Oreochromis niloticus: one gene and its partner. The protein of the gene in region 1 binds, or shares a complex with, the protein of each later gene. Links are inferred from orthologs where the notes say so. Each region holds a gene or a part of one and is shown on either strand. Other genes may lie near its edges. The genes, in order: cep152 and cep63.

Region 1 (16,091 bases):
AGTTTCAGGTCGGTAGCCTCGTTCAGAGTACAAAAAAAACTCCTCCCGAAAATGTGCGAAGGCAGGGCAGGTCCAAAACATGTGGGTATGATTGGATTGGCATCATCAGACCTGCACCTATTACAGCGAGGGTCTAAGTCAGGATAAATCTTAGATAATTTGGATTTAGATAAATGGGCCCTATGAACTACTTTAAATTGTAATAGGGAGTGGTGAACGCAGAGTGATGTGGAATTTACCAGAGTAAGGACTCAATCCCAAATGTCATCTGACATAGATACAGCCAACTCTTCTCCCCATGTGGATTTAAGGCCTTCAAAGGGAGCTGAAGTTACAGCAACTGCAAGTTTGAGCAAAACAATGAACACCTGGTGGAAGTAACTATGTCAGTATAGTAAAGTATGAAGCTTCATACTTCAACTAAATTTAATAGGCAAATAGTACTTCACTATATTTATCTGACAGCAGTAGTTACTATTAACTCTTTGGATTAAGATTTTTGCACAAAAAAAAACTACTGAGGATTATGAAATTGTTCATAAAAAGTAATAACTAAGGAAAATTACAAATAATAAATAGAAATCAGTGAAGCAGATCCTCCCTATATCCTCTCCAGACTCCTCAAATTCATCTGTAAACCAGCCTCTACGACTAAAACAACTAGACTTAAGAATCAAACCAACTGCAGCAGTAAAATGCTGTTTGCAGTATTGGTAACCTAATTCTTATCGTATGAGTTTCTGCAGAATTAGCACTTTTACATACAATATATTGTCAAAAGTATTTACTCACCCAACCAAATCATTGAATTCAAGTGTGCAATCACTTCCACGGCCACAGGTGCATAAAATCAAGCACCTAGGCATGCAGACTGCTTCTACAAACATTTGGTAAAGAATGGGTCATTCTCAGGAGCTCAGTGAAGTCCAGCATGGTACTGCGATAGGTCCAGTCATGAAATTTCGCCGCTACTAAATATTCCACAGTATTTCCATCTGTTAGTTATAACAAAGTTAATGTTATAATGTCATACATGTTATATAATTTTATAACAAAGTGGAAGTGATGGAAACAGCAACTCAGCCACAAAGTGGTTCGCCACGTAAAACAGAGCAGGGTCAGCGGATGCAGAGGCACATACTGTGCAGACGTCACCAACTTTCTGCAGAATCAATCGCTACGGACCTCCAAGCTTCATGTTGCCTTCAGATTTGCTTAAGGACAGTTTGTAGACCCTTGTGAAATGCAGTGGTGTAACGCACACTGGGGGTGATGCTTGATGCTGTTGCCAGGAGAACAGCATTTGTCTGAGGGTATAAATTTAAGTAAAAAGTTTGGTGTTGGGTTTTCGGGTGTTGGGCTCAGCCTTTTAGTTCCAGTTAAAGGAATTCTTAATGCTTCAGCACACAAAGACATTTTGGGCAATTTCACGCTCCCAACTTTATGGGAACCGTTTGGAGACGGCCCCTTCCTGTTACAACATGACTGCATGCCAGTGCACAAAGCAGTTTTATGAAGACATGAATGAGCCAGTTTGGTGTGGAATAACTTGACTGGCCTGCACCTCAACCTGACATAACATGTTTGGGATGAATTGGAGCGGGGACTGTGAGCCAGGCCTTCTTCTCAAACATCAATGTTTGACCTTACAAATGTGCATCTGGAAGAATGGCCAAAAATTCCCATAAACACCGCTAAATCTTCTGGAAAGTCTTCCCAGACAGTTCAAGCTGTTATAGCTGAAAAGGGTGAGGTGACATCATATTAATCCCTCCTTTTGGCAATATAGTGTATACTTTGCTAATAATACTTTGTACTTTTTAAATTAGATTTAGGTCTTTGCTTTATACATTGGGGACTTTATATATTTAATACCCATGTGTTGTGTATTTACATACTTTTCCCATCCATGATGTATTTCCGCAGGTTCGTCGTCTCCAACAGTCCAGGAAGAAACAAGGACCTCAGGAACAGAACCTGAGGCGAGTACGCAGGACAAGCTCCCGCCGCTCTGCCTACGCCTTCTCCCACCAACAGGGCTTCGGCGAGCTGATTACCTCAGGCAAAAACATAAGGAGGAGCACAGTCTCTTCACTTTGCTCTCCCGAAAGAATAGCACAAAGCCACAGCTCCAGCTGGATAGAAAACATGTTAAAGAGGAAGAATGAAGTTTCCTGTGCCTCACCTGAAAGTGAAGGTGGAGCACCAAAAAGCGGCAACAGAGCAATACAGACTCGAAGCAAAAAAAGCACGCAGACTGAACTCGACATTTAAGACACTGCATACAGTAAAGGGTACCGTATGCATGGATCCTACAGACCAAGCACAATTCTGAGTGAATCTTTGCTCAAATCAGCTACACAAATGTACCTCAGTTATTTTTGTTGTTGTTGTTTTTTTTTTAAAAAGTGCGAGTTATGCGGACACTGAATGTTATAAATGCCAGCCAAAACATAATTAAACGAGGGAACCATTCCCGAATGAACAAAGAAATTGGCAAACCCTCACTCTGACAGCATAGGTTATTTTTCATGACAATATTTGCATGAATTGCAAAAGTTAAAGAAACATTTATCGTTGCTCAGAAATAATCCAGTTTGACCTTAGTTTTGTACCATTATAATGGCATGGCCTCTTCTGATTAATAAAGACGTTTCAGTACTTTTAGCTGTTACAAAACAAACCTTTGTGCAATAAAAACAAACGCAGTTCCCAAAAAAGTCAGAACGATGTATAAAATGTAAACAACGGCAGAATGGCAATCATTTGCAAATCTCACACCCATAGTGTATTCACAATACACCACAGAAAACTTAGCAGATGTTTAAACTCAGGAAACATTTGAAGAAAAACATTTGATTTTAAATTTGATGCCATCAACACATCTCAAAAAAGCTGGGACATGGCCATGTTTATCACAATATAGCATCTGTCCTTAAACATCTGGGAACTAAAGCTGCTGAACTTTTGGGTTTAATATATCCCAGAGGAGACGGCAGCGTTTCTAGATCGTGTTCGCATTTGTCGATGGACCAGTGAACTGTCTTCTCACACAATGATTTCTGAAACTGTGCAGTGATTTCTGTGGCAGAATTTTTGGCCTCACCCCCTGAGCACAGAGATTTCTCCAGATTCTCTGGATCTTTTGATGATATAATGTACTGTATAGATTAGACATTCAAAGTCTTTGCAATATTACATCGAGGAACATTATCCTGAAAATTTTCCACAATTTGTATACAGTTTTTTTCATATCCAATCATCTTACTCAGCCTAATTAGCTGTTGCCCAACTTTTCTGAAATATGTTGCTGTCATCAAATTGAAATTGAAACAATATTTCTCATCAAATAGTAAAATGTCTCAGTTTAATCATTTGACATGCTTTCTAGGTTTTATCGTGTGGGTTTGAGATTCGCAGATCATCGCATTTTGTTTTTATTTACATCTTACACAGTGCCCCAATGCCCCAACTCTTTTAGGGCCGGGCTCGTAAATTACAAAAGGGAAGATCGCCCTGGCCACAAGTACAAAATGCACCATCTTTAAAAACTATGCACTGAAACACACTTTCTTCTTAACATACATCCAAAGTGCTAAAAAATAAGTATTGTAAATACTGAAGTAATGCTGCTGAATAGGATGGTAAGCACAATTAATTACAGATTTTAAACGTTTAATACATTTTACAGTTTGTGGCATACAGCATACCACAATGACACTGCTCTGAGATCCATTGCCCTGTGCTGTGCCTTTAATAGTTTCTGTTAAAGACAGCTCTCTTCTATTTAATATGTCATCTCTGATTTGGCCTGAGTATATTTAAGGACAAAGTAAAACTGGAATGCATGGCTTGAGTAAGACATAAGAAAATAAGTGAGGTTTGATCATACATCGAAGAAGTGGATAAGTTTTACATTTAAAAATTACTTAAACCATCCCAGTTTTTTGAAGTAGATAATTGTTCATAAAAGAGATGCAAACACAGGGCAGGTAAAATATGATATAATAAAGGCTTTTGAGCGTTTTGCCATTGATGGATTCATAAGGAAAGAATGAGATATACCCCTAGCTGAAAACCCTCACATAGTGGTGTTCTTCTTTCAACTGCTTTCATTAGGGGTCCATCTCAGCCTATCTTCCTCTGTCACACCAACCTCTCTGCATGTCCTCCTCCACCACATCCATGAACCTCCTTCCTCTTCTCCTCCTGCCTGGCAGCTTCATATTATAAAATAACCACTCTCTCCTCCACATCTCCAAACCATCTCTTGCCTCTCTCACAAACTTATTTGGATTTGTATTTTAACCATTTACTTGCTTCATACTTAATTTTTATTATCATTTTACATGAATAACATGTAAAAGGGGCCACTCTTATGTACTACGAAACTAAAAAATGCCCCCCCCCCCAACACACACACTTCTTTGGAATATGATGCATAGACCTCTAAGCCTCCAACAATCAATGCTCTTTTATGAAGTAAAAAATATTACTGTGCAGAAGTTGACATCCAGCATTTGAGCCTTTTGAATGTCTTTAATACACTACAACCCCAACACTCTGCGTTTCCATTAATGCACATGGAGAGAAGTTTTTTTTTTTTGCCTTTTAATGTTAGTGTCTGAAATTTTAATTTAGATGAATTTTATACAGCACAAGTTTGTTTTTGTTGCTGTTTTTCTTACATTTGCTGTCTTTTTGTTTATGAGAGAAATGTGCAGACAGACAATGACTTCTCAACAAAATCTTTCATTATAATAAAAAAGAACATGTTTGAATGCACCACGGAAGCAAATCTTTGGCCCTTATTTTCCAGCGTGATCTATATAGAGGAAAAAGTTAAATTTATCAGTCATCATATCATTAGTCACATGTGTAAGAAAAACCCATTTCTGAAACTGAAAACCATCTGAAACCCATTTAACTGAAACTGAATGACTGCGGTATAAAAACCGGTATAAAATCAGAAATGGATTATGAAGATCACTCCTCGAGGTAAATTGCAGCTCCACCACCTGGCTTTGATACAAACAGACTTTGTTTTTCTATTGCTGCTCTGCGTGGATCAGGGAGGTAGTATTCTTCTCTAACAGCTTGTAAGAAAGACTCCACCTTCTCACTGGGAACCATGGAAACGGCACAGCCTCCCCACCCTGCTCCTGTCAGGCGGGAACCCACAGCCCCTGACTTCCTGCAACCATGAGAAAAAACAAAAAGACAACATAGTGCTAAGTTTGACACTTTAATACTATTATTCCTCTAGAAAGATGTGAGGAAGGGGTTGCATGTACATCTACAGTCATGCTAGTGGTGTGAGGTTCTACTTACTGTAAGCATTCAGCAAAGAGCTAATGCTAACACGAGTAGAAATCATACAGCCCTTGAATGACTAAGTCCATCCTTACTGCTTCCAAAGGAACTGAGAGGGCAAGTAGCAGCCTGGTTCTGCTATTCTGATGCACTTGATTAATTGATTGTCTTTTATAATTAGAACTGGGACACATGAGAGACTGTATGCAAACTGGATTATAGTTATAGTTATTATATTATAGTTTGCATTGTGGATTTTTATTAATTGAGATCTTTTTTTTGGTAAATGAACCTAAATACCTCTAAACATTCATTGGATAACATCCAAGTTTCTCTCCCAGGCTGTGCAGGAGTGGTTTAGTTTGCAGTACTCACAGGCAGATATCAACTAATTGGTCCAGTTCAGGGCAGCTGCACTCGTAGAGGTCTCTGCAGCTTGCGTGGCTTTGGTTCATCAGCTCTCCCAGTAGCCGCGTGGCATTGGCAGGTTCAGAGTCGCACACGCTCTTAAACTGCAGGACTCGTGCAGCTTCCCCGTACACATGTTTGGCTCGCTGGTGAAGCTTGAACTGTGTCACTGAGAGAAATAACAGGAAAAGTGTTCCAGCAAAAACCTTAATCTTAAACCTGTTTTCATGAGACTGGAAATGAAAAAAAAAAAAAAAAAAATCTAATGTGATGGAATAACCAAATACTTGACTATCAGCAGAAAATAATATATTAAGGGTTGCTTAGAATATATTTACAACTAAGAAAAATGTTCTGAAAGAAAGAAATGTAGCTCATTTCACTCAGGTAGAAGTATTTGGTTGGTTGGAAATTTAGTTCACCTAAATAAAATGCACAGGAAAATATAAATACCACATTTTAGTTGCAATATTGATAAAATATGATGCATTTTAGTGTGAATGTACTACAATAATCTGTCAATGTCAAAATATATCAGACTTAGAAAGATGGGGTGGGGAATTAAACTAGCAACACGCTTTTTTGCGCTCCATTAATGGAGTACTTCACATAGAGCTCCTGCTTTATCAGCGCCCACACAGGTTTTACTTACTGTCCTGAGTATTAGCGCTGAGCAGCTCTGTTGAAAACTGCTCCGAGGTGATGCCCAGCACCTTGCATATCTCCTCTCGGCTGTAAGGCTCGGGGTGCAGCACCTCGTCCACCAGAGCCAGCATCTCCTCCAGGGAGGCCTTCAGCTCCATCTGAACATGAGCGAGCTTCAACAGCCTGCTCGAGTCCACACCCCGCGCCTGGGCCAGCATCTGAGTACACATCCACTGTGATGTTAACTTTGAATATTACAAACTTATCACACATGTTTAAAGTTTACAGCGAAGCGTGAGGCTGTTCATCGCTGTGTTCTTGGGTTGTTGTGCTCTGTTGCCTTTGAAAGAGCACACGAGTCAAACTAAATTCAATATTAAATTGAAACTCAGGAAATAAAACAACATATATAACAGATATTTCAGGAATGCATCACGGCAACAAATAGCACCTTCGTGGCGATCCGACACTCCACCACACGGATGTTGTAGTGAGAAGAAGCAGCTTTGTTCATCTCCACGCAGCAGTTGGAAATCACAAACACGGCACCATCGGGGAGTTTGACATCGGTAGCACGCAGGGGCTGGAACTCTATCAGCTTTGCCTGGCAGACAATTCAAAAAGTTTAGCCAGCAATATTGAAGTTATTATTTGTTTAAATAGTGTATTTTAGATGTGCCATATTCGTCAAACACAGGTCAAAGGCGGTCGGGCTACATACAGTTCCTGCCTCTGCCAGGAATGAAATTGACTGGTCCATGCCTCCTCCCTCTGTGCCAATGTATCGCTCACTTTTGGCACAAATCTCCGCAAGAGCCACCTGGTGAAATACAAAGTTTTCCTCTTTAATTAACAAATCCAGGAGAATGTCTGACTCATAAGGATTCACATTATAACAAATTAAAGACAATATGTATTAGGAGTCATATTCTTTGTGATTAATTGTTCATTACCTGTTGAAAGCATCATTTTTGACTGTTACCAAAAGAAATTAATACATGTTTTTGGTTTGGTTACAAAGAAGCTTCACCTTGGAGAGGGACTTTTGGTTTGCCTCCATTGTTACGAGGCCAGAACAACAAACTAAGGCACTAGAACTGGACAGGCCGGAGCTCGGAGGGATCGTTCCATCTACGACACAGGACATCCCTGCTAAATGGTTTAGCCCAAACTTCTCCTGAAAGAAAAAAAAAATCTAAATGTATCATGTTACCACTTATGATGCATTTAGTACATGTTATAGTATTCATTTTTTGCCATTCCATAATTTAAGTATAGAACTCATCACAAAACTTACCTGAATACCTTTAACCCCACAGAGAAAATAATAATACCACTGTGGATCATCTCTATCTATGGCAATTTCCTCTGAACACGACACACTGAAATCCCTGTATAATGACAAACAACAAGCTTTCTGAGAACACACACTCATAATGTACAGCTACCATTGAATAAATTACACAGGCCAAAAACACACAAACAAAAAATATATATTGGGGCTGTCACTATAAGGGTTCACATCTCACTTGTATTTAGGATTTGCATTGGCCAGCTGGATCTTCCCTGAATTGTTCACTGACACAGCTGCGAGGATATTCTGCTCGATGGCCATTGGAAGCACAGAATAGCCACAGTAATCAATGTGTTCACCTGTTAATGTGACAAATATGAAAAAGATGTATGTGAGAGACCGTGTTTGACTGGTACCACTAAAAAATTCCTGGATAAAAGCTGCAAACAAAATCATAATATTACCACAAATGTTTTACTTTGAAACAAGGTCAAAATATTAAGAACACCCACTGGCAGAACTACTATTATCTCCAGATGATATTTATATAGGTATACACTGTACTTATTCAACAGATACAAAATAGATGGAGCATATACAATAATGCAATCAGTCTACAACACATGCCACATAAAGTATGAAATTACCTATTAGGTTTACCCTTCCAGGTGCAAATGCATAGAAGAGAGGAGATTCCCCATACTTTGACTCAAAGGTTTCTTTTAAGTTTTTCATCCTGCAAAATGACAAGAAAAGCAATTAAGTATCATAATATTATACTCTGAGAATCACTGCGTAACCTCGTTGCTTCTCACCTCTCGTTAGCAGCTATCTTTGTCTTTAACTTGGGCGGGTTTGTGGCCATTTCTACCCGTTTTAAAGTAATTGTGAGTCCACTTGTTGTCAGACAGGAGAGCTCAGAGCTTTCACATATCCGGGTTTAGATCAGCTGACTGTCACAAGAGGCTCCCGGATACCACAATGCTGAACTCTGGTCGGAGCTCAGCTGAGTTTAGCGTCTGTCTACAAAGGAAGAGCTGACTCTGAAGCAGCTGAGGCAGCAGAGGCAAAATGCGGAAGTTAATAGACGGAAAGGGGGCGGGTCTTATGAGTCGACGTCCACAAATCTGAATGGGGTAACTCCAAATACTAATAAGAACGGTCATTCATAAATTTAATGCACAAAGTTTCTTTTTTTTTTTTTACAGTAGCCTACTTTAAATTATTTGCTTTAATGTTAACGTCAATGAACTTCAGTAAAAAAAATAAACAGGTATAAAAAAAATAAAAAGGTAATTAAAATAACAGAAATGTAATGCCACATTTTTGTGATTAAATTCCCAGGTTTGACTAATCTGATTATAATATCTATTTAGTAACCCTGTTTACGGTTATCTTGAAATTAGCTGCTATGTCACTGTTTAACCACACGATGGGAACATCAGATTGCTTTTTAAAAATGCCAGCGATGACGAAGTTTTTCATGAAAGTGTGGCTTTGTTTGCGCATAAAAAATTAATACATGTTGACCAGGAATAAAAAAGGAGGAAAGAAAAACAAAAAACAACCTGAAAGAACAACAACAAACATAACATTTTATATATCATTTCCAAATAATCTCGATAACTACACTACCCATAATTCTAACGACTTTGTTACCATGGACACGGGGTTAACTAGCTCCGGGGTTCTCAGCAAGAAAAGAAATCTTGTAAATAGCTTCACCTGGTATGTTTTGTTACGCCAAAAAGCATTTAAATTAATATTTTCGTGTCGGTGAATTAGCGTCAGTTGTGATAATGAGTAAGTCTGTGTGCAATCAGTTTCTGAAATCCGCTCTGTCTCAAAGAGTCGCAGTGGTTTGGCGCTGCTAACGCGCGCGAGTTTTCAAAGTGGGCGAGTCTAACAAGGTACGGCTAGCAGGAGTTAGCTTTGTTCGCTACGAAGTTAGCTTCCATCTTAAATGTTCGCAAACTGGCCTATTATTTGGCATTAAACCTGCGTGTCTTGTTAAACGTGTTGGGCATATGTTTCCAGAGCTCGGCTGGGTCGTTTGTTTGGCATGTCCGGGTTTACCGCTCGCTAATAAGCCTCACTGTTTTGTAATGTAAAGTGCAGCATGGCTAACAGTTGAAGCTAATACTCAATAATAGGGATACGCAGCTCAGCAAAGGAGAGATCTGCCGTCTTTTAATTAACGGGTAAGCTTTGATATATATTTCTAGCTGATATCAATGCGTAATTTTAGTTAACTTGAGTTTTTAACTGCTGTCAAAGATAAATTAAGTTTTGTTGTTCCTGTTTTCCTAGCATCCCCTAAACGACCAGGAGGGTGTGCATTATGTCTATTGATTTTGACAGTGCTGCTCTTCAAACCCAACACGATGAAGAGGAATACGACCAAGAGGACTACGCGAGAGAGCAAGAGGTGCAACACTCAGATCTACAGCTTTTCAGAATTATTCAGATAACATCTGTCTGATAATTGTGCATCCAGTTGTTGGACTGAGTTCACATTCGGCATGCACCCTGAATTTCTTAGGATATTTACGATAACAATTTGATGGATATTTTTTATTTACTCTGTTATTTAGTGCCCACTTAGCTAACTGAGAAAGCCTATTGTGAAAACACGATTTGTCTTTCGACTCATCTAATTGTGTTTAAACATATTTAGCCAGCTGACTCTGCTTGTTCATCGCTCATTGGTTACAGCCATCATAGTTGCTGATATCAGTCAACACAGTAGAAAGCCTGTGCATGTTATTCAACATGCAAGAACACAACAACATGTCCAGCTAATGCTAAAATTACAAAATAGTAAGAAGTCATTATTTATCTCAGCTTACTTTACATTTACTATCACTGTGTACAGTGATTGTATGTTTACCAGATTTCACTACTACTGTTGATCTTACATTTCTCTTTGTGAGTTTGTAGTGCTGTCTGGGGAATCATTGACAAGTGCATTGTTTGAATTTCACAAGCATTGCCTGCTTCACAGTTACTCACTGTTATTACTCACATCTACAATCTGTTGTGCTGTGAGCTTGAGCTATTATTGGCTCAAGGAAAAGGCCTCCTTCCAGGTGTGTCACACTGAAACCAGCTCAGCCCTTTGGCTTCCCCACTTTCCATTTGGGTTACTTGGCTTCAGGAGAGAAAGCGAAGAAGCATTTGGTGATCTTATAGAGCTCAGCATAATGGGCTTTAAATAGTATTAATTAAATAGATTTTCATTTCATTTCATTTATTTTTATTTATTCTTTTTTTCTTTTTTTAGGCTATAACCTACTTATAATACACTAGCTCATTATGGATAATGTCTGCCAGCAGTAACTGGAATGTTTCTGCTCCAGTTAACTTTGCTATATGTTTTGTCTAAACAATGGAGGTCTTTGCGAGGCAAACAAGACAATACCACAGGGAGCCGACAACATGCCAGGCACGTTTTGGATGTTTTACACAGAAGGCCTTCTCTACAGGCAGATTAGGCTGGGGGTTATCTCGTGGTTTCACAGCTGAAGTAGAAATGCCTTTTCAAATTTTGTTGACTGTGTAAGTGGGATAATATGGGTCCTTCGGTTGTGGACACAGTGGAGGATCTGAGGAGTATTCAGCGGTCCTTATGGGAAGTAAGTCCAGCTGGCTCTGCTTGTTTCAACACACATGGCTGTTTGTTATGCAACTTTGGTTAGTCTGTTACTGAGGAGTTTGTTTTTTTTGTGTCATTTTATTTGCAAGTGTCAAAATATTAAACAAGGAAAGACTTAATGAGAATCAGTTTTATTTCAAAGTAAATTTACACATATGGGTTCTAAACCGGCAGCACGGTGGCATGGTGGTTAGCACTGTTGCCGCACAGCAAGAAGGTCCTGAGTTCAATTCCACCATCAGGCCGAGGGTCTTTCTGTGTGGAGTTTGCGTGTTCCTTCCGGGTACTCCGGCTTCCTCCCACCGTCCCAAGACATGCAGTTTGTGGGGACAGGTTAATTGATTAAAAGGACAAGTGGAAGCGGATGGATGGGTTCTAAACCAGTGATTAACATAGGACTAAATTCACCCATTTAGGTCACAAAATACAAATACTGCCATATGAGCACAATATGCAAATATTTAAATAGTAGAAGGTTTTTTGCTATATAAAGATTGGGCTACACTGTGCAGTGCTGTGCAAAATACAGTCAGAGAGTGCAAATACTCAGTGTTTATTTACAGCATATTTGGAGCTTTTGCTTCATAGAAGACTTCCGTGATTAATCATTTAATCAAAGTTTATCCTTAAATCTCACATGCAAACACAAAAAGTTTCTGAAAGTGTTTTTAGGTATAGCCTGAATAATTTTGATTTAGTAACTCTACACAGCATAATGTAATGATATTTAATGTAACAAGTGTTTCTCAAAACTGCAGCTAAATAATAAAAACACACTGCATAAGACTTTTACAGCCTTTTAAGCTGTCAGTGATTGCTTAGCTCTGGTGTTTTTTTTCCTCTATCTTTGTTACTTTATAACTCAGTTGCGAAGCAACCATAGTGACTCATTTCCATGTGCTATTTCCTCTCTTTCTTTTTTTTTTTCCTTTCTCGCAGCTGCACAAGCTGCTCACAGACCTGCCTGATGACATGCTTGAGGATAGCATTGACTTCTCCTCCCCAGAGCTGGATTACACTGCCTGCAGTAATAAAAACACTGGCAACAGGTAACACATGTTGCTGCTGATGACACTATATGTAATGTCACATTTCGAGAACTCTGGGTGTGGTTAAAGACAAGCAGATTTGTTGTCACTGGAACATTAGTTATCATTTGTTGTGCTTTCTCTACTTAGCCCACAGTCCAGCTGGACTCAGCAATGGTCTGGTCATCCAAGGCCAGCCCCTCATACACAGGTAGAGTGTTAGTTTATGTTCAGTAGTAGATTTAGGGGCCTTGAATATTTTTGCCATCAAAAAAATACAACTCATAAATGGTGCATACAAAAAAAGTTCAAAAGGGAAAGAATCACTCTCTGTTATTGTCTCTCTAAAGAACTATGAAGATCACTATGATGAAGGGTTGAACAATGAGTATGCATATAAGGATGGAGCTGCTCATATTAATGGACATCGGAGTCCCCCTCAAAGTCAACCTCTGCCTCACACCTGGAACCAGGATCATCAGTTCACACAAGCAGATTATACATGCACAAGCATGGGCACAGACAAAATGACAGAGACCAGTGATTTTTCCACTGAGTTTGAGTCTAAACCATACCCTCAGGGTGCCAGTAATCATGTGGAATATAACGGAGAAAGAGGATACATGGACAAGCAAAACCACCAATTTCAAGTGAGTGGACCATTTCATTTCAAAAGCATCCAGAAGGTCCTAGCTGTTATTGTGCTGTTCTTTCCTTTAAGGTTTTAAGTCTTAATGCCTCCAAATCATTTGAATAAATAGTAACATGAAAGGATTTCTAGTATTTTTTTTTTTTAAAAAAGCAGCATTTTATTCCAAAAGAAACGTACATTACTTGTGTGTATGAAATGTCCTCAAATGTCATTTTAAATTAACATCTTGTTTTCTGGCAATTTGTAGTTTGTGCAGTTTTATTTTTTTATGTTTGCATGTTTTGTTTGTGTATTTGTGTTTTTTAAATACAGCAACATTTTCACTACTATCATACTATGTTTCTATGTTTAAAGTCTGAAGTATGTGACAGAGGTGCAAATCAGTACAAGGTGAGCTACAATCCTCATCATCCTGCCCATCAGCCAAACATGTTTAAGCCACAGGCCGCTCAGCAAGGTCAGTTTGACCATCTACAGAGAGATTTCCTTGACTCAACACAACGTAAGTCTTAGTTTCATTGACTAAATAATAGTACTAGTACACTGACATGTAAATATAAACTATTTAATGAGATGTGTGCCTGTTTCGGGACTGCAGATGGCTGTTGTCAAGTAGCTTAATCCGTTACAAGGCATTTTTTTCTTCCAGTTGTATGCATAGTCTAGCTGTACTGCAGAAAGGTGTAATTTGAATTGCCAGTGGCTTAAAAAATGACATTGCTTAAATTGAAAATGTCTTCACAATGAAAAATGACTAAAATTAAACACAAAATTATCTTTGTTTCAGAAAATGCTGACCGGGAGCAGCTTGCCCAGCTGCAGATTTTGAACAAAGCCCAACAGAGGCAAATTGAAGACTTGGAGCGAAAACTTGAGGATTCACGGCGTAACATGAGATACCTCGAGCATCAATTTGTAATCGTCAAAGGTATGTTCAACTTAAAATGAGGGACATCTCACTTTGTTGCAGTACTTGAACAGTATATGATTATGGAGGGTTTTTAAAAAAAATTTTTTTACAACCATAATAATAACAGTATAGTGTAATAATAGAAATCCACTCAAAACCTTGGGCACTTATGACTTGAGAGGGATTGTCAGTTTATAGCACTGAGACTAGTAGAAGTAAATGCAAGTTTGTCTTTAGTTGGTTAAAACATCTGCCCCCTTGTGGCTGTTAGTGATGTAGCACTGCTTGCTAGATGTGCTGATGGTCCTTTTTTTAAAAATTGTCCATAGATGAAAAGGACGGCCTAGCAGTAAGTTTAAAGGAAGCGAGTCGATTGATTGAAGAAGCCAAAGAAAGAGAAGTCCAAATGCAAAACAAGCTGAAGGCAATGGAGCAGCAAGTACAGATCCTCACTGAGAGAGACCACGAGGTATGTTCTGTGCTGACAAACACTGTTTTCATTCTATTTTCTTAGTTATTTAACGCCAAATTTAAGACGGTAATAATAGTTAACTGTAACTATTGAAGAAACATGCACTTAAGGAATTCAAAAGCTTTGTCAGCTTTATAGATTTAAGAATATAATATGAAATTTTGTATACAAATGTGTCTAAACCAGCTCTGCTTACTGAAACATGATGCATGACTGAAACCTTTGTATGAGAATGCTTCTTTTTAGTGTATATAGCAAAGGTTTTCTTTTGTTTGCAGAACATGAAGAAACAGAGGGTTGCAGATGCTGCGGTAGACAGTATGAAGCAACAGATGTTGGAGCTTCGCCGTTCTGACACGCTGTCCAGAGCGCGGGAACAGCATGACAGAGACCTTGCTGTCATAAAGGAGCAGCATGAGGCTGCTCTGTTAGCCCTGCAACAGAAGCTGGACTCTACCTCTCAGACTTTGAATGAACAGGTCTGGAGTTTTATTGACATAGTATTAGAAAATGGAACAAGTTAACCAAAAGTCCATTCTTTGTCATCGGACAAATGTTGATTATATTATTATTATTGTTACGTCAGAGTGTGTTTTTTGTTCTGTGGCTTCCAGCTTGATATTGGTCAGACGTTACGGGAGCATGTGAAGCTGTTGGAACGCCAGAGAGAAGAAGAGCAACTGGAGAGAGCCAGAGTGGTGAATGCACTCACACAGCGTCTGGAAGAGAGTCAAAAACAATGCGCCAAGCTGCTGCAGACAAGTGTGTGAACTCCACATGAACATTACTGAGCAGCTGACACCCACATTACCTTATTCTTGCTCACATTTAATCGATCTAATTATGTTTTTTATTTTCAGATTCAGTGCAAGAGATGAGTCAAATGCAAATCAAACTACAGCAGGCACTGTCAGCCAAGGCCCTGAGTGAGAACATGAACAAAGTTTTACAGGTTTGTCCTCAGATTTTTCTAAAGCACAACTACTCCTGTGACTTCTGATGAACAAGCTGCACAAACGTTTTGTGTTTTTTCATTTTCACCCTAAAGGAGGATATGGCTGATCTGAAGGAGCAGATCGCTCTGTATGAATCTGCAGTGAAGCACGGTGTCATTGCGATAGACCTAAGCAGCAACTGGGAGAACCAGCTGTCTGAATCCTGTGTGGATTTGGGGTTGAAGAAAACAAACAGGAAAAACGGCACGCTTAATAGGTAACAGTGTGAATACAGAGCAGTCATTGTGATCTGTATCTCTTCCCCTCTTGGGCTGAACTCTCCAGAGTAACCTTTGGAAACACATTTTTCTGTTGTTTTGTCAGTACTGCTTTGGCTCACCTGTCAGACTCCAAGCTGCCCAAGGATGAGGCTTTAAGGTTGCTACGAGTAGAGATGCAGCGCTGCCTGGGTAGTTTAAAGGGGAAGCGGCAGAAGATCAACCAGCTGCAAGAGGAGCTCCAGCAGTGTCAGCGTCGCGTGAATGAAATGCAGATTGAATTAGATGAAACAAAACTTAACTCTGAGGTGAGTGCTGACTCCTGAAAACTGTAACTTTTCTAAACTTTGGTTAATTTTATAAAAGTACTAAAAGTGGGCAGGTTTAGGTGACTGATGCAGACATTTTTGATCTACCCAGATGAAAGAAACCAGCCAGAAGAAACATCAAGACATGACTGGAGACTCTCAAAAAGAGTTGATGAGATTACAGGAGGACAAA
Region 2 (16,427 bases), on another chromosome or scaffold:
CCTGACGATTGGTCATCGGTTGGAGCGAGCAGTGCGTGGGTTTGGTTCGAAGGTAGCCTGGTTTTATTAACAAAACTGCCAAGTTTAAAAAAAAAAAGAAAAATCCTGCAACTTGCTAAAAAAAAGGATGTTTGTGGAGGGGGAGAGAACACCAAGTTGCTTTATGTGTACATTTTTTAAAGCGTTTCCCCAGTTTCTTTTCTATTTTTGTATTCAGGGAAATCTCTCTGGAAAAGAGTCATTCCATAAAAATCAGTGGATGCCTCCCGCCTGACCCTCTCAGAATCTGTTTTTTTCTTTTAAGTGTAGAATAACATTAGTGTTTAAGTGTTAGTTTAGTGTTACAATAACATTAGTGTTTAACACATACTATGAATATTTTCTGAGTTACAGACCCATAAAGTACATTTTTAATTTCACCTTACTGACTTCTATCATTTTTGATCTGTTATAAAAGTGCAGGAGATGAAAAAAGGAAATCAGTGTTACGCTGTCAGCATGATGGGATCTGTAGAGTGACAGAAATATCATTGGTACCCTGGATGTTTGATCTATTTTCTAGTAATTCACTGTAGAAAAATGTAAAAAATGTGAGATATGTGGCTGATCCAAATAAGGTATAGCCTCTGAAATGTGACTTACATTTTGATCTTCTTATTATGAGTCCTCCTGTGATAACACTCTTGAATGTAGCTTATGAAACAACATTGGTGTTGTCATGTTCTGTGAAATGGGTTAAACATGTCAGCCTATGTAAGCCTGAAAATATTCATAGTCTGAAGGTAGAACTCTGCATGACTTCAGTAAATATCTTGAAGTTACTGTGCATACACAACGTGCTGATTCTGAGGGAGCCAGGTGGGAACTTTTTAAGATTTTGTTGATTTATTTTTTTGTTGTTTTTCTTTTTCTTTGTTTTATTTTTTGGTTTTTATGGAATGACCCAACAAGCTCTGTGTGTGAGAGCTGGACAAGAGACGGTAGGCTTGGATATTTTTTTATGGATGCCACTGCTGTTATGGGCAAATACAGAAATCCCCCAAACTGTAACCACTGAAAACTTGTGTAACTCCCAATAGACCTTTTTTTTTTTTCTCTCAAACTTCCCTTCTGCCCATAACTCAGGTGGGATCCATAACTTGGTGTTTGAGTCATTACAGGACAAAGCGAACTTCTCGAGTATCTACTGCATGCCTAGTTTTTAAGCATAGGTACTGTTTACCCGTGTACACAAGTTTGAATATGTAAATGGTAACATTACACCCGTGACTCAATGCACTCGGATGACGACTAGTCCAAGTCTTTTTTTTTCTGTCTGTTTGTTTACGAACTGGATTTGTATACTTGACTACAGGATATGTGTTTGTCGTGTGTGTGTGTGTGCGTGCGTGTGTGTGGGTGTAAACGTGTGCTTTCTGCATCGGCAACGTTAGAATGCAGTTACATAGAGGGCCACTGACAAGTCGCATCATCCTCGCCACATTACGGCAACTTTGGGGTCACCGTTTTCACCTGTCAGCTGCTGTTGCATTGTGTGGTATCTTGGTGTTTGTGATTATGATGCACATACAGTGTACTTACTGTAAGCGAGCAGTGGAGGATCAAAGCCCTCGCCTTGGGTCACAGAGGACAGACTAAAGTTCCCTGATGACCGGTTCTGTGTTCAAACCGACCTTTAACATTGTAAATCAGTTTTTCTTTCCTGACAACAGACTAATTTGCACATGTAGACCTTTCAGGTTAATATGAAGTTATGAGAAGCTTCATGGTAAATGTACAGTCACTTAATTCAAAGACATTTCTGATTGTCATAGAAACTGTCGTTTCGTGTTCCCACCGAGATGAGGTTTTTGTTTGGTTTTTTTGATGTTCGTAGTATGAGGATCCATTTGTGCCAAAATTATGTTCACACAAAGACACACTAAGCATTTGTCAGCTGTGTTTGCAATGCATGCAGTGCAAACAGGCTTCAAACAGAATCTTGAGGCGAATGATTGCAGTGATTCTGTCGAGCGTAACTGTGAAGCGACGTAAAAACTGCTGTCGGTATGATGGTGAAAAACCAATCATGGACTGACAGATGTTGACTCTGGCTTCTCCTAAAATAGAGATGCAGTCAGACTGTCTCTTAAACTAATATAAGATAATCCATAGTCCAGCGATGAGGTGAGGTTGCGTCTCTTTCATTTGTTTTTTTGATCAAAGTCTAGAGCAAAGTCAACTGATGATTATTCAGAGCCAAAAAGTCTGTTGAAGTTCTATAACCTCACCTGATCACTATTTTTCCATCATTTATGCCACAGACCTGTTTTTTTTTAAAGATTTTATTGTGTTACATGTCAAAATGCTCTTCCCTAAAAGCTCAGACTCACTTAGTATTTAATTCAGCTCAGGCACAGCCGACTGAGCGAGAGCCCTACGGTCAACTAGGTGTCCGTGCAGAGGAAGAAAAAGTCACAAGTTTTCCCTGGATGAAGGATCCCTAGCAGGTCCTTTTGTCTGGAGATCTCTTTTAATTTTTTTGCTTTGAAAGCACCCGAGAGTTGGTGCTCCTTTACACGCCTGTGGCTGCAGTGCAGGTTTCGAGTTTTATCGTCATATAGAGGAATGGAAAAATCATAACCAGCAATGAATGCCCTGTACAAAAACACCCCCTAGTCTGGGACTGACTCTGTTCCAGATGATGCCATGACATCATGTGTCTTTCCATTTATTTTATCCCTTGTAATAAGTATAAATCCTGTCTTGGATGAGCCTCTCATCTTTTCTTAGTGCTGCTCTGCTTGTCTCTTGGTTTTGTGAACAGACATGAAAGTTTAAAAAACGCGGCCAGTTTTTTAAAATCCAGTAAAACGAGCAGGGCGACTTTTCGGGCATGTTTTGGCCACATAGACAGCAGCCGTACAAATGTAATTTTGACACCAGTGGATCCTCATACTAGCACCTAAACTGACTGCTGCCGTTTGTATGATGCAAGGTTGCAAACGGCTCTTAAAAATGTCAGAGTCGTAGGATTACGTGGCGGTTGTGAAGTCAGTCGAGAACACTACTTTGACTTGTCTTTGAGGTGAAATCTTTCCTGCACTTTTTAAGAACATGTTTTAGATATAGAGTGACGATGTTGATGTTTTAGAAACATGGTTAAAAAATAATAATATTTACTGTGTCTTAGAGTAGAATCAAACATGTAGGAGTTGTTCACGTTTCCAAAAAAAGAACCACACAAAAAAATAAACGGGGGAGCACTCTGGTGAAAGCTAGTGAACCTTTCTAACCCACATAATGAGCCAAATAATAAGACTAGTGAGAGACGGGATTGGTCAAATATGATGGGAGATCTGGACTGGAACACAGTGTTTTGCAGGTTTTAGAACAGTTGGGTTTTAAGTTTGAATCCCTCAAAATGAAAGTCTTGTAATGTTTACTCTCTTTGTGTTGCTGCCTCGTGAGGAGGGAGGTATTTATGTTTCAAACCACAGCAAAATGATTGATCATTACACACTCACACACTCGTATTTATTCCCCTTCAATATAAAAGTCCACCTTTGTTTCGTTGTTTCCTGTTAACATTTCTCTTGAAATGGACCAAGTGATGCAGCAGATGTCTTGTTGGGGGAGGCGTTGTGTGTTTGAGGATGTGGGGGGGGAGCCCTGTGCTCTGGCTTTCCATTCACACTGTACAGAAATCTAGCATGTCTCTCCAAATGATTAATAAAGATGTCTTATTACCAAAGTCATGCACGGGACTTTTCTTAAATAAACTTTACTTCTTCTTTTCTTTCTTCCTTAGCTTTGGAGGACCAAAACTGTAAAAATCCAAAATAAATGACATAAATAGAACATTTTAATAAGATTTGTGTGGGGGGGCCTCCCAGGTGGGGGCTTTCAGGTATGTCTTACTGGTTGGAGGCCCCAGGTAGGCCTACACTGGAGATAATATCCCAGAGGAGCTGAAGGAAGTGGTCGGGGAGAAGGAGATCTGAGCCTCTCTGCTTGAATCGCTGCCCTCATGAACTTTATAAACTGCTGAAAATAAAATTAATTAAAAAATATAATTTCAAATACAATGTATTTATATATATTTTAAATAATTGCTTCCTGTTTGTATCTTTATACTATATTTAGTTCTTTTAATTTTATATTTTTTAATAGGTCATTTATGTATTTCTTTATATATTTTTAATTTGACAGTTTTGGCCATTCGTACTTAGCCAGAGAAAAACCAAAGACTGCATAAAAGATGGACATGGCTGTCATCGTTCTTGAAACAAGGACATAGAGCTGCAGTAAAGCTACCTAAAAAAAAAGAAAATAAATAAAAAAAGCTTAGTGTGTGTTGGCAGCCTAAAAAGTAATGGTACAGTAAATTAAAAATTAATGTAATTCATTTTTTGATTGTATTCTTTATACCCACTGGATAAAAGCCAGACTTTTAAAAGGTGTCTGTCTTAAATTTTGACCTTTTGAAAACTACAACACAAAAAAATATGGCACGCAATAAAAACCCTGAAATGATTGGATAACGCTAAAACTGCTGTACTGTCATGACTTTAAGCTTGCTGTTATGTGCACTCTCTCAGTGTGTAGGTCACAATAAGGAATTATTGTGTCACGTTATCATACGTGTCGTGGCATGCATGGTTTCTACTTTGACTCAGTAACAATTATCTCCAGTTTCTACTCATGACGGTTTGCTGATTTCATTGCTGTTTCCAGCTGTGATTTTGTTATAATAACCTTAATAGAAACTAAATGATGACTCTTTCTAGGCCACCTGTGCAGGTAATAATGTAGTTTTTCTATCACAAGAATGAAAGTTGATCTTTAATTTGTTTAGTTATTTCGTACTTTTCCGTACTGCAAGTGTTTGTGTGGATTCAGATACTCAAACAGGAACGTACTATTGTTTGCAATGCAGTACGGAGGAAATGATCTTACACCATGACGTTGTTGCAAAGCTTCCCCACTGGAGCTGAAAATATTTTTGTGGCTCATGGTTAAATAACCGCCTCATTAATCAGTCTGACCAAAGAAACCTGCAGATGCTTATGCGGGCCTTCAGTTTTTAGGTTGGTGTAATTTACCACAGTATTTAATTCTGATGCTAGGCCTAAATTATCCTCCAGGAAAAGTGTATTTTTATATTTTAGCATTCCAACTCCGACTGAAGTCAATTATGTGCATTATCCCACCACTGCTGAGACAATCTGGGAGTTGTTTCCTGTTCTGTTCAGCTTTAATCTTGGGGATTACCACCATCAGGCCTGCACGGAGAGCCAGTAAATACATTGCAAAACTGAAACTGGTTCGTTGCCATATACACAATCATGCGTGTGCGTGTTTGTTTGTTGCTGCCTTCCCGATACATTCCTGTCCAGCCTGCCCCCGTGGCTGCCAGCTTATTTTGAACTTGGAGGCAGCTTCCTGTTTGGCAGTAATTTAAACGTGGGAATATGGTATCCAAAGACCGAATAACACACCGCCTGCCAATATATGACTAAGAGTACGCAGGCTAACAGTTGAGACCAAACCAGTGTGACAACTAACAGATTTTCAGCTCCATCCAAACAGCACTGACCTTAATGTGACTGAGACACCAAACACATCATAGTCAACGTATCTTCTTTAAAATATGTCGGAGGGGGTTTAACATGGACATAAAGTGGAACAAAAAGAAAAGAAAGTGATGATCCAGTTTGCAGATATCATTGAACGTGGAATATGTGCCAGATGCTCGGTGAATGGAGTTTTATAATCCACTTTCATGGTTGAATGAGTCTTTTGTGGCAGGTTTTTGTTGTGCGTCTTCTCCACAAGAATAATATTCAGAAATCCCCTCCTGGCTTCACTTTTTTCACTCACTTAAATACTTCATGTGTCATAAATGGTGCATGCAGTAAAGGAGGAAAACTCATGATTCTTTCAGATGTCAATAAAACCCAATGGACACCTGTTTGAAAAATAGTTTTATTAAATACTTTATGTCCTAGCTATCATAAATACAGAAAACAATAAGTTATGATGGCTATTCAGGAGCTGAAATGGAGAGGGGACCATCTGTTCTGAGGGGGTCTAGGTCTACGGGTGTTAGCCCCTCTGGGACAGCTGAACTAAATCCCACAGCAACGGCTGGGAGAATTAATCCTAGAATAAATAATGGGGAGACGGAGCACCTTTGGCTGAGGACAAAACTGTGTCCTGACAGGATCACAAATGAATCCTCCTCCCCCAGCGACCACAGCTTCCCTTCAAAGTTGAGTCTTCTCGTCCTGAGAGCGGCCACTTGTCAGTTACTTTTAAAAAGTCTCTTCTGTTGAAAGTCTGCGCCAGGATTTCATTTCCCTTTAAGATGAAACAAAAAGAAAAATATAAGTGATCATTTTTACTAATAATCTGTAAATAAAAGCTACAAACTCAGAACGTACACATTGCTGCCAGGCACGATTCTCTCCTGGTGTTGCTTCGTCAGACTGAACCTCCTGAAGAACGTGGGCAGTTTGAGCTTCGCTCTGGCGGATCTCGAGGAAATGCTGAAAAGAGAAAAGGCTCTCGTGTCAGACTGGGCTTTGGGAAAAATGCTGTAGAGCCGAGGCGCTAATGAGAAGCTGTGTGGACAAATGGACTGCTCGGCACTAATGTGTAAAGGACTCGGTATGACAGGAATTTCATATTCAGCACTGCCTCCAAAGAGGTTTTGTTCTCATTTTCTGCCATTTAAAACATTTTCAGTCCTCAACTTCCACACTAGTAATGTTTAAAGACTCAAAATGATAAACCCACCATTCTCCTTGTAACTGTTTAGCTTCTATTCTCTCCTGTGCAGCTGTTTGCTTCTCTCCCTCCTCCTCTTCCTCTTCTTCTCTTATGTCCACATCCTCCGGTATCTGGTCCCACAGCTCGCTGTTAACCCACAGAGCTTCTCGAAGACCTCGACCTCGGCCTATGCAGGTCACCCGGCGACACAAAGGGCAGCCCACGGTGAGCAGACCGTTCCTCTCCGTTGACATCCTCTCCAGACACGAATCGCAGAAGGTGTGCCTGCAGTGGAGCACCCGGGGGATCCTCTCCTCCCGGGAGTAGGGCAACAGGCAGACGCTACAGTCGCCATCCTCACAGAGAACCATGGTCAACCCTGACAACTTGTGGACTTAAGGATTTTTCTACAAAATCTAAATTTTTAATGGGTGTGAATAGGCTTTCTGCGAGTCCAGTGTTTAGAAACAATGGTGAAGATGATGGCTCCAGCAGATCCCAAGCTCAACAAAGTGACTCCCTAATACATTAAAAAACATTTTTATTAGCTATTAGAAGCATTGTTGCATCAAATTTAATTTAAATAAACGTTAATCTGAATTATTGTAGTATTGATGTTTTTTAATCCAGACAATGAACCTGATTAGAAAGGACACCAATATACCAAAATACACTACCATCTACTATCTTATGCTGAGTTGAAAGAAAAATGTTTCAATAATAATAATAATAAAGAGTGTACTTACAGCTGGCCTTTGCGTGTAATTTATTGTCCGTCTTTGGCTGCACAGCTCAGCCTCTCTGCAGTGAATGGTGTCAGAAAGCCGGCTCGTCTGCCTCCTGTTAGGAGTGTCTGTTGGGTTTGTGGGGGCGGAACAGAAACGTCTCCAGCTCTTTCTCTTTCTCACGGCCCCATACCCACCCAGCATAACAGCTGGGGAAGCAGAGCGGAGGGGACGCTCTTTGTTCAGTGTTTGACGACAGGCAGGTGGAGAAACGGGGAAATGACGCAACGGGAGGCGGGTGTAGTCACACAGAAAAAGTAATCTAGTTAGCTTTAACATGAAAAACATTAAAAACATCCTTATGTTTCAAGATAAATTGAAAAGGTTTGATATTCTTCAGGAATAATAGAAAAGGAGGGCTCGTCCGGGATTTGAACCCGGGACCTCTCGCACCCAAAGCGAGAATCATACCCCTAGACCAACGAGCCGGTTGCAAAGAGTTCTGTGGTAGCGTTTTTATATGTTGACATATCCATGACTTGACTGTATTTAATCAACAATCATTGCGTCACTATAAGAGAATATAATCACAACCTCAATATAAGGACTAACGGATGTCAGCAAATTCCTGAAGACTATTTGGACGGAATCGACGTCAGAAATATTTTTCCTTCCAAAAATACAACTGACCACAAAGAGTAGGGACCCTACACTATTTTGTTGGTTTCTACCGTGACTGGCACAGCATATAAATCACCAGTTCTGAGACCGTCCTACTTTGGCAAACCGTCCTATACGTAGGATAATTTGACAGTGACTTCTGACAAACCGTAACCCTAACCATAACCCTAATCATAACCATAACAAATATTCACATTGGCCTAAAAAAATGAAGTAAATTTGGGGATTGCGTTGTTTCCGCATGCGCAGAAACAACGGGTAGACTGTTTCGTGTGGTAGGATGGATTCCCAGAACACCGGAACACGACCACAAGACAATTCAGAAGTGAAAACGCGCATTAGCTTGAAAACTGGTAGCAGTGCTGACCACTTACGTAGACTCCACAGTCGACTCTACAAAAATTCACTGCAGAAGTTTGAAGTAAATATGTCAACAGTCCTCCGGTACAAAAATTGGGCTCGTCCGGGATTTGAACCCGGGACCTCTCGCACCCGAAGCGAGAATCATACCCCTAGACCAACGAGCCACGTGTTCATAGGATGTCTGACAATATCCTTTAATCGTCGATAAAACCAACATGATGACATATATTATGATATCATTTGTTACAAAGCGTTAAAGGTAACAGGGAATTTCCAAACACGAACTTACATAGCTAGACGTGTGGATAACAAGTCTCTTTTGATTATTTTAAACCACTTGCTTCCTGTGCTCTGGAGTTACGTACAGCGTGTTGACATCACATGCCGGGGTGGAGTTACCGCCTTACCTCAGGAAGCGCGCTGTTCGGTTGTGCAGTGTAGTCCAGCTAGTGATGTAAACAAATAAAGTTGGATGAGTTGAAACGGACCAGCCACAGCCAGCAGCTAACGTGAGCTAACTATGCTGGAAGCAGAAACCACCTCCGTGTAGCAGTCAGGTCAGCCTTGGTTTAGCTCGCTGTGTATTATGGGTTGCTAGTAACGTTTATGGTTGCTAAGTTATAGTGAACTTCTTGCGTAGGGAAAGGGCACGTGAAGCGACCGCAAAGCCAGTCCGCTTTAAGTTACTAACAGGACTTTACTTTAAACCAGATGGAGGCTTTTCTGGGGTCGATGCACAACCCTGATCTGAGGTAACTTGCACTGCGCTTAAAGAACTAACTTGGGCAATGAGCATTTACAGAAATTACATCCTTTTCGTTATTTGGCTTTTCCTTTCAGCTCAGTCCTTTCATCGTGTGAGCCGGAGCTTCAGGAACTGATGCGACAAATTGACATCATGATCAACGATCAGAAGAGGAAGTGGGAAGATGAGACTTGTGCCTTGGAGCTCAGGCTGAAAAGTAGAGAAGAGGAACTTTTAAACTCAAGGAGCACAATTGAACGGAGGGAACTGGAGGTGAAATAGAAGAGCCTAAGAGTTTATTCTAAACAGGAGCAAAGTTCTAAAAGATAAATAATGATGTGTACACGTGTTTATCCAGTGTTGGTACTCCTCCCTCGATCCTGTTAGTGATGTTCATGGACAGGATGTCAAAGTGTAGCCGGTGTGAGGAGGTGTCCATTGTGGGAACCTCAAAATCACATCCCTGTGTTGTGCAAATTATCATATCAGCGAAACTTCAAGATATAAATATAAAAGGACATACGTATTAACATTAATGTTTATGGGACATTAACAGGTAAAAGGTGCTGCTAGGTGTGCACATATACTTTGTGGCAGAGTGCAGTGAGGTGTGTTTAGTCTTGATCAGTATGTGTGGGTCTGACCAAAGTAGATGAATTAAAGAGTCTGATAGCAGCAGACTCGCAGACAGTCAGGTTAAAAGAATCTCCAGGTTGATGAGCTTCATGCCAACTACAGATTCGGCCTTCCTGATGAGGTTATTCAATCAGTTTGCATCCAACAGATATAGTTCTTCATCACAGCATGACCATCAGCATGCACTGGAGCGGTTTGCAGCCTGGATGAGGGCCTGCACCTACAAGTCTGAGGCTATGATCTTAGTCACAAGTGAAGGGAACGTGGAGTGTGAGATGCCTGCAATCTCCTAAAGTGCGTGCTGAAATCTGGGGAATGACCTAACAAGTGTGGTGGTAGATGCAAGCAGCTGAAGTGAGTCTGGGCTTAGCGGTAGGATTAGGAGCTTGGACATCTGGAGGGAGCTCAGAGTCGAAGCACTGCTTCTCGCTCTTAAAAAGAGCAAGTTGAGGTGGCCTCTAATCAGGACACTTGCTCCCTTTTTAAGGTTTCCCAGCGGCGTTGCTTTGTCTGCTGCCGCCACAAATCAATGTCAGATGAGGGAAAGAAAAATGGATGTTGTTGATATGATTGAATCAGCCTTTATTTAAGTAAAACTAGATTTGGATTCTTTACTTTTGTTGATGATTTGACGATGACAAAATTTGTAGATTGTAAACCTGCAATTTTTGTGGGCACCAACGATGAAGTGGGGTGGTGCATCAAGGCTCAGTGTGAATAAATAAAGAGCATTTTGAGTAGAGACCAAAAATAAAAAAATATGCAGCTGGTAATGAGCATAGCCTCAATATAAGATAGTTGCTAACACAGCTCATAAATTGTGTGCTCATATTAACTCTTTCCAACACCATTACTGTACCCATGACTGTAGATTGGATTACTCCGCAAGCAGCTTGAAGATGTCCAGACTGGCCGACAAGAGTTAGCCGCCAAGTATGAGCAGCAACTGCACAAACTCCGTGAAGAGGTGTGAAAACTCGTCTGTTACAAATCTTTTCTGCTGTTGCTTGGGCAGAAGTTTACAGTTTTTCTGTTTGTACTCACTCTCCCGCATAATTTCAAATATAGTAAGTGCATTTTTTTTCCTGCAGTTGGATAAGTTAAAGAGAAGTTACCACAAGCTTCAGCGCAAACACCTCAAGGACGCTAACGCAGGAGTGAAAGAGACAGACCTCCAGAAGGTGAACCCTGATATCACCCCAGTCATGCCATTGGATTGCTGCCGTCTGCTGGGTATGTGAGGTATAATCATGCTCCCCTCTCTCTGCAGGAATATCATCAGCGCTCTCTGGAGTGGGAGCAGCACCGCACCCAGAGCCAGCAGGAGCTCACAGCCCTGGAGGCCGAGAATAAGAGCTTGAAAGATGAGCTCTCACACATAAAAGTAAGTTCAGTGACTTCAGCATGTAAAGAAAGCAGAGGCTTGTCTGTTTTATTCACCACGTGTTTTCTGTTGTTTCCAGTCCCAGTGGGCAGCGCATCAAGTGGAGAGGGAGCACAGGGATTGCTGTTTGGAGGTGCAGCGCCTGCGCTCTCAGCTGGAAAAAGCTCAGAGAAGTCTGCACACACAGGAGCTGGAACTGGAGCGTCTCCGACCACTTGAGAGTTGGCAGGTAGGTTCAGAAGCCTGGGGAAGGTGATAGGACGGAAGATTTTGAATTAAACAACACTCACAGCAAGTTTCTCCGACATGTATTAAGCCTGTAAGAAAAGTTAAATGAAAAAGTCTTTAGTCTACCGATCAACTTTATCAGTGTCGAGAAACTGAGCTTTAACATTTAATCCAGTGCCCATAAACCTCTTAATGTTGATTATTCAGTTAAGCATTTTCAAGCTCAAAGTTCCTCATAGGTGCCAGGTTAGAATATGTTTTAATCAGCTGAGGATCCGCTGTTTTGCAGGTGCTTTCTGAGGAATGGGAGGAGCTGGACTCCCAGGATGCATTTGTGCGGCGAGCCAGTCTTGAGCGCCAAAGACTCCGTAACGAAACAGCCAGATTCAACCAAGCGCTGCAAGCTAAAGATCAAGTCATTCGGTGGGTGTATGCCTAGTGATGTAGTTCAGCAACTTGTACAGAAGGGGGCGTACTGCGTCCACACTGTAGGCAGGATGTTACCTTGTAGCACTCAGGTTTATTCACCAAGCTTTCCAAGTGACTGACTCTGAAGTATTTGCAGCCAAAACGAGAGCTGATCAAATTCTTTAAATGCTAAGCAAACTGGCCATCTACCTGCAGACTGCGTCAGTTGTAGATGTAGGGAGTGTGAAAAATGTGGTATAACTGGTCTGTGGGCTACTCCTGCTTGTGCTGTTGTTGGTCTGTCAGCGACTGTTAAATACGACCCGAGTGTTGAAAACCACAACAAGTGTCCACTGCAGCCACGGTCTGTACTTTTCATACTGTAGTTTTTCTAATCTTTAATGATTGTTTCATGGTTCTCCTGTCCCTAGTGAACCAGGGAATCCACTTCCCTATTCCAAGCCAATTGTCAACCAATGAGGATTCAACAGAATCCTAGATCATCCATGTCCAGTGATATGCAGTTAGGATTTTGGAGGACTGCGTTTCATGTGTGCACAAATTACACTTTAGTCCTGTCTGTTAAGGGTTTTGGGTTTTTTTTTGCTATTCCCAGAAAAGTCTTGATCAAGTCACGAGCTAGAAGCTAAACTCAGTGTGACACTCCATAGAATATTTATTCCTGTTTATTTAAAATTACAACATCAGTAATCAAGTGATATTTTTATCCAGCCTGCATGAATCAACACATCCTTCTTAATATCTTTTCTTCATCTTCTGATGTTTTCTGTTGGGAAAAACAATTAGCTATTGTCCATCATAAAGGTTGCCATCCTGTGAGTGTTTGTGTGATGTTCTTGTGCAGCTCTCTGGAAGACTGTCTGGTAGCTCAGGGCTGCACCGGTGTGGAAATCCTCAGACGAGAGCTGGAGAAGACTGCAGCCAAGCTCCAAGGTGCCCAAGCATATCAGGGTCATCTCAAGGCTGAACTGGCATGTCTCAAAGAGAGGTAATGTTAGTCCGCCCCTTCATGTAGTCCAAAACCCAAGTTTGTTTTTTAGTCTTTTAGTCCTGTCTTGAGCTGAAGTAAATAGTGAGTGAGTGGGAATGGGGTGCGCCTGATTTATATCACCAGAAGAAAAATTAGAGACTTAATCACTTTTCAGATTCAGATCTTTTTTCTGTGCGAGTCATTGCTTTTATTTGTCTGGACTCAGGCTGCAGGTGGTGAGTAAACAGAGAGATGAAAACTTGAAGACGGAGCAAGAACTGCGAAGCCTGAAAGCTGAATGTGACTCTTCTATGGCTGAAGCGAAAAGGGTCTGTGTTTTTGTTTTTGTTTATTTTATTTTTTTTCATTCTTGTGCTTGTTGTTTAACAATCCTGCCTACGTTTGATCTACAGCTCAGAGAGGACCTTGAGCGGGCCAGGCAGACTCACAGCGGCGAAGTTGAGGGAATGAGAAAGGAGGTGTCAAAGCTGACCAGCGAGCTGCACGAACGCGACCTCGCCATCGCCAGTCTGAGCACCTCCTCGTCCAGCATCAAGCAGCAGCTTCGCGATGAGGCGGAGCGATCAGAGAAGAAGGCTGCTGAGCTCAAAGTGAGAATTCATTCTAGAGAGAGAACTAGAATGATCAGATGAGCCTCTATGAGCAGCAATCCCTTTAAAAATGGGGATAGCCGGGCTGAGCGATCAACAGCCATCCAAGGCCCCTTAAATCCTCTCCTCCTAATAACAGCAAGTTTATAAAGGATCTAGATTAATGGACTGCATGAATGCTGTACTGGGCAGGGACTGGACAGTGAAACTTGAAGCTTTTACCCAGAAAAATGGTGGACCCTTAACAAGCCGATGGTGTAACGTCCCGTCCTTTGCTGCTCTCCGTTTGTGTAATCAGCTAGAGCACAGGTGTCGAACTCCAGGCCTCGAGGGCCGGTGTCCTGCAGGTTTTAGATGTGTCCTTGATCCAACACAGCTCATACAAATTGCTAAATGACCTCCTCAGCATGTCTTGAAGTTCTCCAGAGGCCTGGTAATGAACTAATCATGTGTTGTTAAAGATGTGTTGACCCAGGGTGAGATCTAAAACCTGCAGGACACCGGCCCTCGAGGCCTGGAGTTTGACACCGCTGCTCTAGAGCCTGTTTGTTTCCCACCTAAGAAATACTGGTACATTTATATTCAACAGGAGGAGTATAACCAATCACAGAAGTTGAAAAATCTTTAACTTGTGCGAATGGATTCATCTGTGTTCACATACGCTTGCTTTCACTTTGCATTTAGTATAAACATTAAATCTTTCTAACTTGTTTTTACAGGCACTTTAATAAATAAGGCACTTACTCACAAACCTCGATTTCCTGACGGCTGGTTTGCTATTTCTTAGCATTTATTCTGTATCTCCGGCAGATTAATGCAGCCTGTTTTGTGCCAAATGTGAAATGATGTTGTATTCTTTGAGGTTCGTTACATTTTTCTCATTCTTTCACAGATGACTCAGGCACAGCTGGAGATGGTACAGGCTGAGAACCAGCACCTGAAAGGTCTGCTGCAGAGACTGCAGCCTCAGTCACCAAAGGTTTGTCTGCTTCGATATCAGTCATCACTCATGTTACAGACAGGAGCCTTTTCTTTGTGCCTCTTCTGTGCTTTTTTTCTAAGTCCGACTCACTCCTCTGTCGTTTTACCCCCCTGAATCACTCATTGCTTCACAGAGGGGGGGCTCCCAGCTTGCCTCCCTGAGGGAGAGTTATGTGTCTTCTCTGAGCAGCCTGGAGCAGGAGAATCGGCAGTTAAGGCAGACACTCGCTGAGATGCAGTCACAACTTGAGGCCTCCAATCAGAGCAGTCAGGATAAATATGAACACGCCGTGCTCAGCCATGCTGCGACTGACCGAGAGCAGCCTGCATATAACAGGTAGTGAGCATATGTACACAGACAGGCTATTTTCCAACAGTGGTCGCCTGTAAAAGAGGGAAATTTTCAGTATTTTATAAAAACTAAGATATAAAATGTTTTTCCATATTAGATTTAAATAGTTTGGGGTGTTATTTTGTCACAGGCCACAGGAGAACATGCAAGTCAGAAAAGCTCAGGCTCTAGAGAACACCACTCGCTATGAAGGAGAGATCCAGGTGCTCTTTAAAGAGCTTCAAAGCTCATCCAAGACATCCACAGATCTGTCCCGCAGCCAGTCCAACGGCAGCAGACCTCATTCATCCGCCTCCTCGTCCTCCAGCAGCAGCACCACAACAAGACTGTCCACGAGAAACTCTGTGCCAGTCCTAAGCTCCAGCAAATCTGCAGCTGATGGACAAAACTCAAGCCCAGGAGACTCTCTGACCAGCAGCGATAAAGAGATTTCTTCTCCCTCTTCAGAGGTGAGCCTCATCTAAATTAATGTCTTGTAACATTTTGTTTAGGTGGGTTTAGTTTGGGTGATGAATCCTAAAGTCGCATTTTTCTTCCCTCTTTAGGACCTTTTGTCTGCATCGCTGACAGACACAGTGGTCACTCGTTTCCTGGAGGAAGAGAACCTACGGACTGAGGAGCTGCTGCAGAGTCTGGACAGCCACATCTTCGGGATGAAGGAGAAGAACAACAAGACACTCTCCACGTTCCTGCACAGCAGCTCAGAGCTGGACTCTGCCCAGATCTCAGTGCAGGATGGTCAGTGATGCAGTCACAACAGTGCCACCTGTGTTCTTGTGCTTTATATCATCATGAATGATCGCAGATGGGTTAGTGCGTCCCTTGATTGAGTGTTTTATCACATTTATGCCACGAGTTAAACCAAGTGTTTCTTAATAACCGTCTGTAGTAAATGTTGTAGGCTGTTACACTTGAATGTGTTTATCTGTGTGCTAGAAAAAGCTGAATGTAGCTTCCAGGTCTGAAAAGTGAAGCCAGAAAGCACAAGTGCCTTGAAGCTGTATTTCTTCTAATGGCCAGCAGGGGGCGACTCCCAGAGTAGCAAAACAAATCCATTTAATTTGAAGTCTGGGAAAAATGGCCAGTGTCTCCCTTTGCCTGTGACTTCGTGTAACACTTTCCTGATAAATTTATGGGCTCAGTCTATTGCTTGAGGTCATAATGAGAACAACGTGATGTCTACTTCACAAATCGTCATCCCCTTCAGTGTCCAGAAGGCGGTTAAACTTGGTATGCTTTAAGGCATGTCTCCCTTCTGATTGACAAGATTCTGCCCTAAATCCTGCACTGCAAGATTCAGGAAGCAGGAGGAATGTGTTCGAACACCACGTAAGTCAAATGTCCAGGTAGAAGGACAAGATGATGAAGTTTGAGTAGGAGAACTTGGTTGGTCCAAACTGCTGTTTTTGTATTTTTTTTTTTTTCTTGACCTGCATATTTTATTTTATTGTCTGGAATGCAGCATCGATGGGACGTTTGCATTTCCATCCAGACAGACTCATGGTGCAGCGAGCCAAAGGAGGGTCCATCCTCCCCACACGTCTGTCATAACTTAGAAAATACCACATC

What was found.
Region 2: the proteins of cep152 (region 1) and cep63 are in contact, whole or in part, in a crystal structure (PDB 6CSU), measured with the Homo sapiens proteins. The link is inferred for Oreochromis niloticus from reciprocal best matches to the Homo sapiens genes CEP152 and CEP63. Residues at the interface, in NP_001181927.1 of Homo sapiens: Gly1261, Ala1262, Glu1265, Leu1266, Gln1269, Tyr1270, Lys1272, Ala1273, Lys1276, Ile1277, Asp1280, Met1281, Tyr1284, Glu1287, Ser1288, Arg1291, Ala1292, Met1295, Ala1298, Arg1302; in NP_001340037.1 of Homo sapiens: Phe666, Glu669, Glu670, Arg673, Ile677, Arg680, Leu681, His684, Glu687, Leu688, Glu691, Ser692, Thr695, Phe699.

The regions. Positions count from the first base shown.
Region 1 is NC_031972.2:49,854,176-49,870,266, forward strand, and holds the start of cep152 (centrosomal protein of 152 kDa), read left to right. Parts: upstream 1-9,320; 5' UTR 9,321-9,861; intron 9,862-9,970; 5' UTR 9,971-10,001; coding exon 10,002-10,088; intron 10,089-10,944; exon of another isoform or gene 10,945-11,232; coding exon of another isoform or gene 11,233-11,295; intron 11,296-12,254; coding exon 12,255-12,364; intron 12,365-12,493; coding exon 12,494-12,554; intron 12,555-12,693; coding exon 12,694-12,993; intron 12,994-13,349; coding exon 13,350-13,497; intron 13,498-13,782; coding exon 13,783-13,923; intron 13,924-14,234; coding exon 14,235-14,374; intron 14,375-14,655; coding exon 14,656-14,856; intron 14,857-14,991; coding exon 14,992-15,139; intron 15,140-15,237; coding exon 15,238-15,329; intron 15,330-15,425; coding exon 15,426-15,589; intron 15,590-15,696; coding exon 15,697-15,898; intron 15,899-16,010; coding exon 16,011-16,091. Other genes in the region: atp8b4 (probable phospholipid-transporting ATPase IM), read left to right, coding at 1,927-2,274; galk2 (N-acetylgalactosamine kinase), read right to left, coding at 4,987-5,194, 5,689-5,890, 6,374-6,584, 6,818-6,970, 7,088-7,186, 7,397-7,543, 7,664-7,757, 7,896-8,019 and 2 more. UniProt on the Homo sapiens protein: Necessary for centrosome duplication; the function also seems to involve CEP63, CDK5RAP2 and WDR62 through a stepwise assembled complex at the centrosome that recruits CDK2 required for centriole duplication.
Region 2 is NC_031986.2:32,685,940-32,702,366, forward strand, and holds the start of cep63 (centrosomal protein of 63 kDa), read left to right. Parts: upstream 1-8,937; 5' UTR 8,938-9,079; intron 9,080-9,133; exon of another isoform or gene 9,134-9,233; coding exon 9,234-9,274; intron 9,275-9,362; coding exon 9,363-9,540; intron 9,541-10,774; coding exon 10,775-10,870; intron 10,871-10,994; coding exon 10,995-11,084; intron 11,085-11,173; coding exon 11,174-11,287; intron 11,288-11,366; coding exon 11,367-11,516; exon of another isoform or gene 11,517-11,530; intron 11,531-11,804; coding exon 11,805-11,938; intron 11,939-12,788; coding exon 12,789-12,932; intron 12,933-13,140; coding exon 13,141-13,243; intron 13,244-13,327; coding exon 13,328-13,525; intron 13,526-14,417; coding exon 14,418-14,504; intron 14,505-14,640; coding exon 14,641-14,843; intron 14,844-14,988; coding exon 14,989-15,307; intron 15,308-15,403; coding exon 15,404-15,596; intron 15,597-16,427. Other genes in the region: im:7152348 (RING finger protein 223), read right to left, coding at 6,297-6,342, 6,426-6,530, 6,781-7,124. UniProt on the Homo sapiens protein: Required for normal spindle assembly.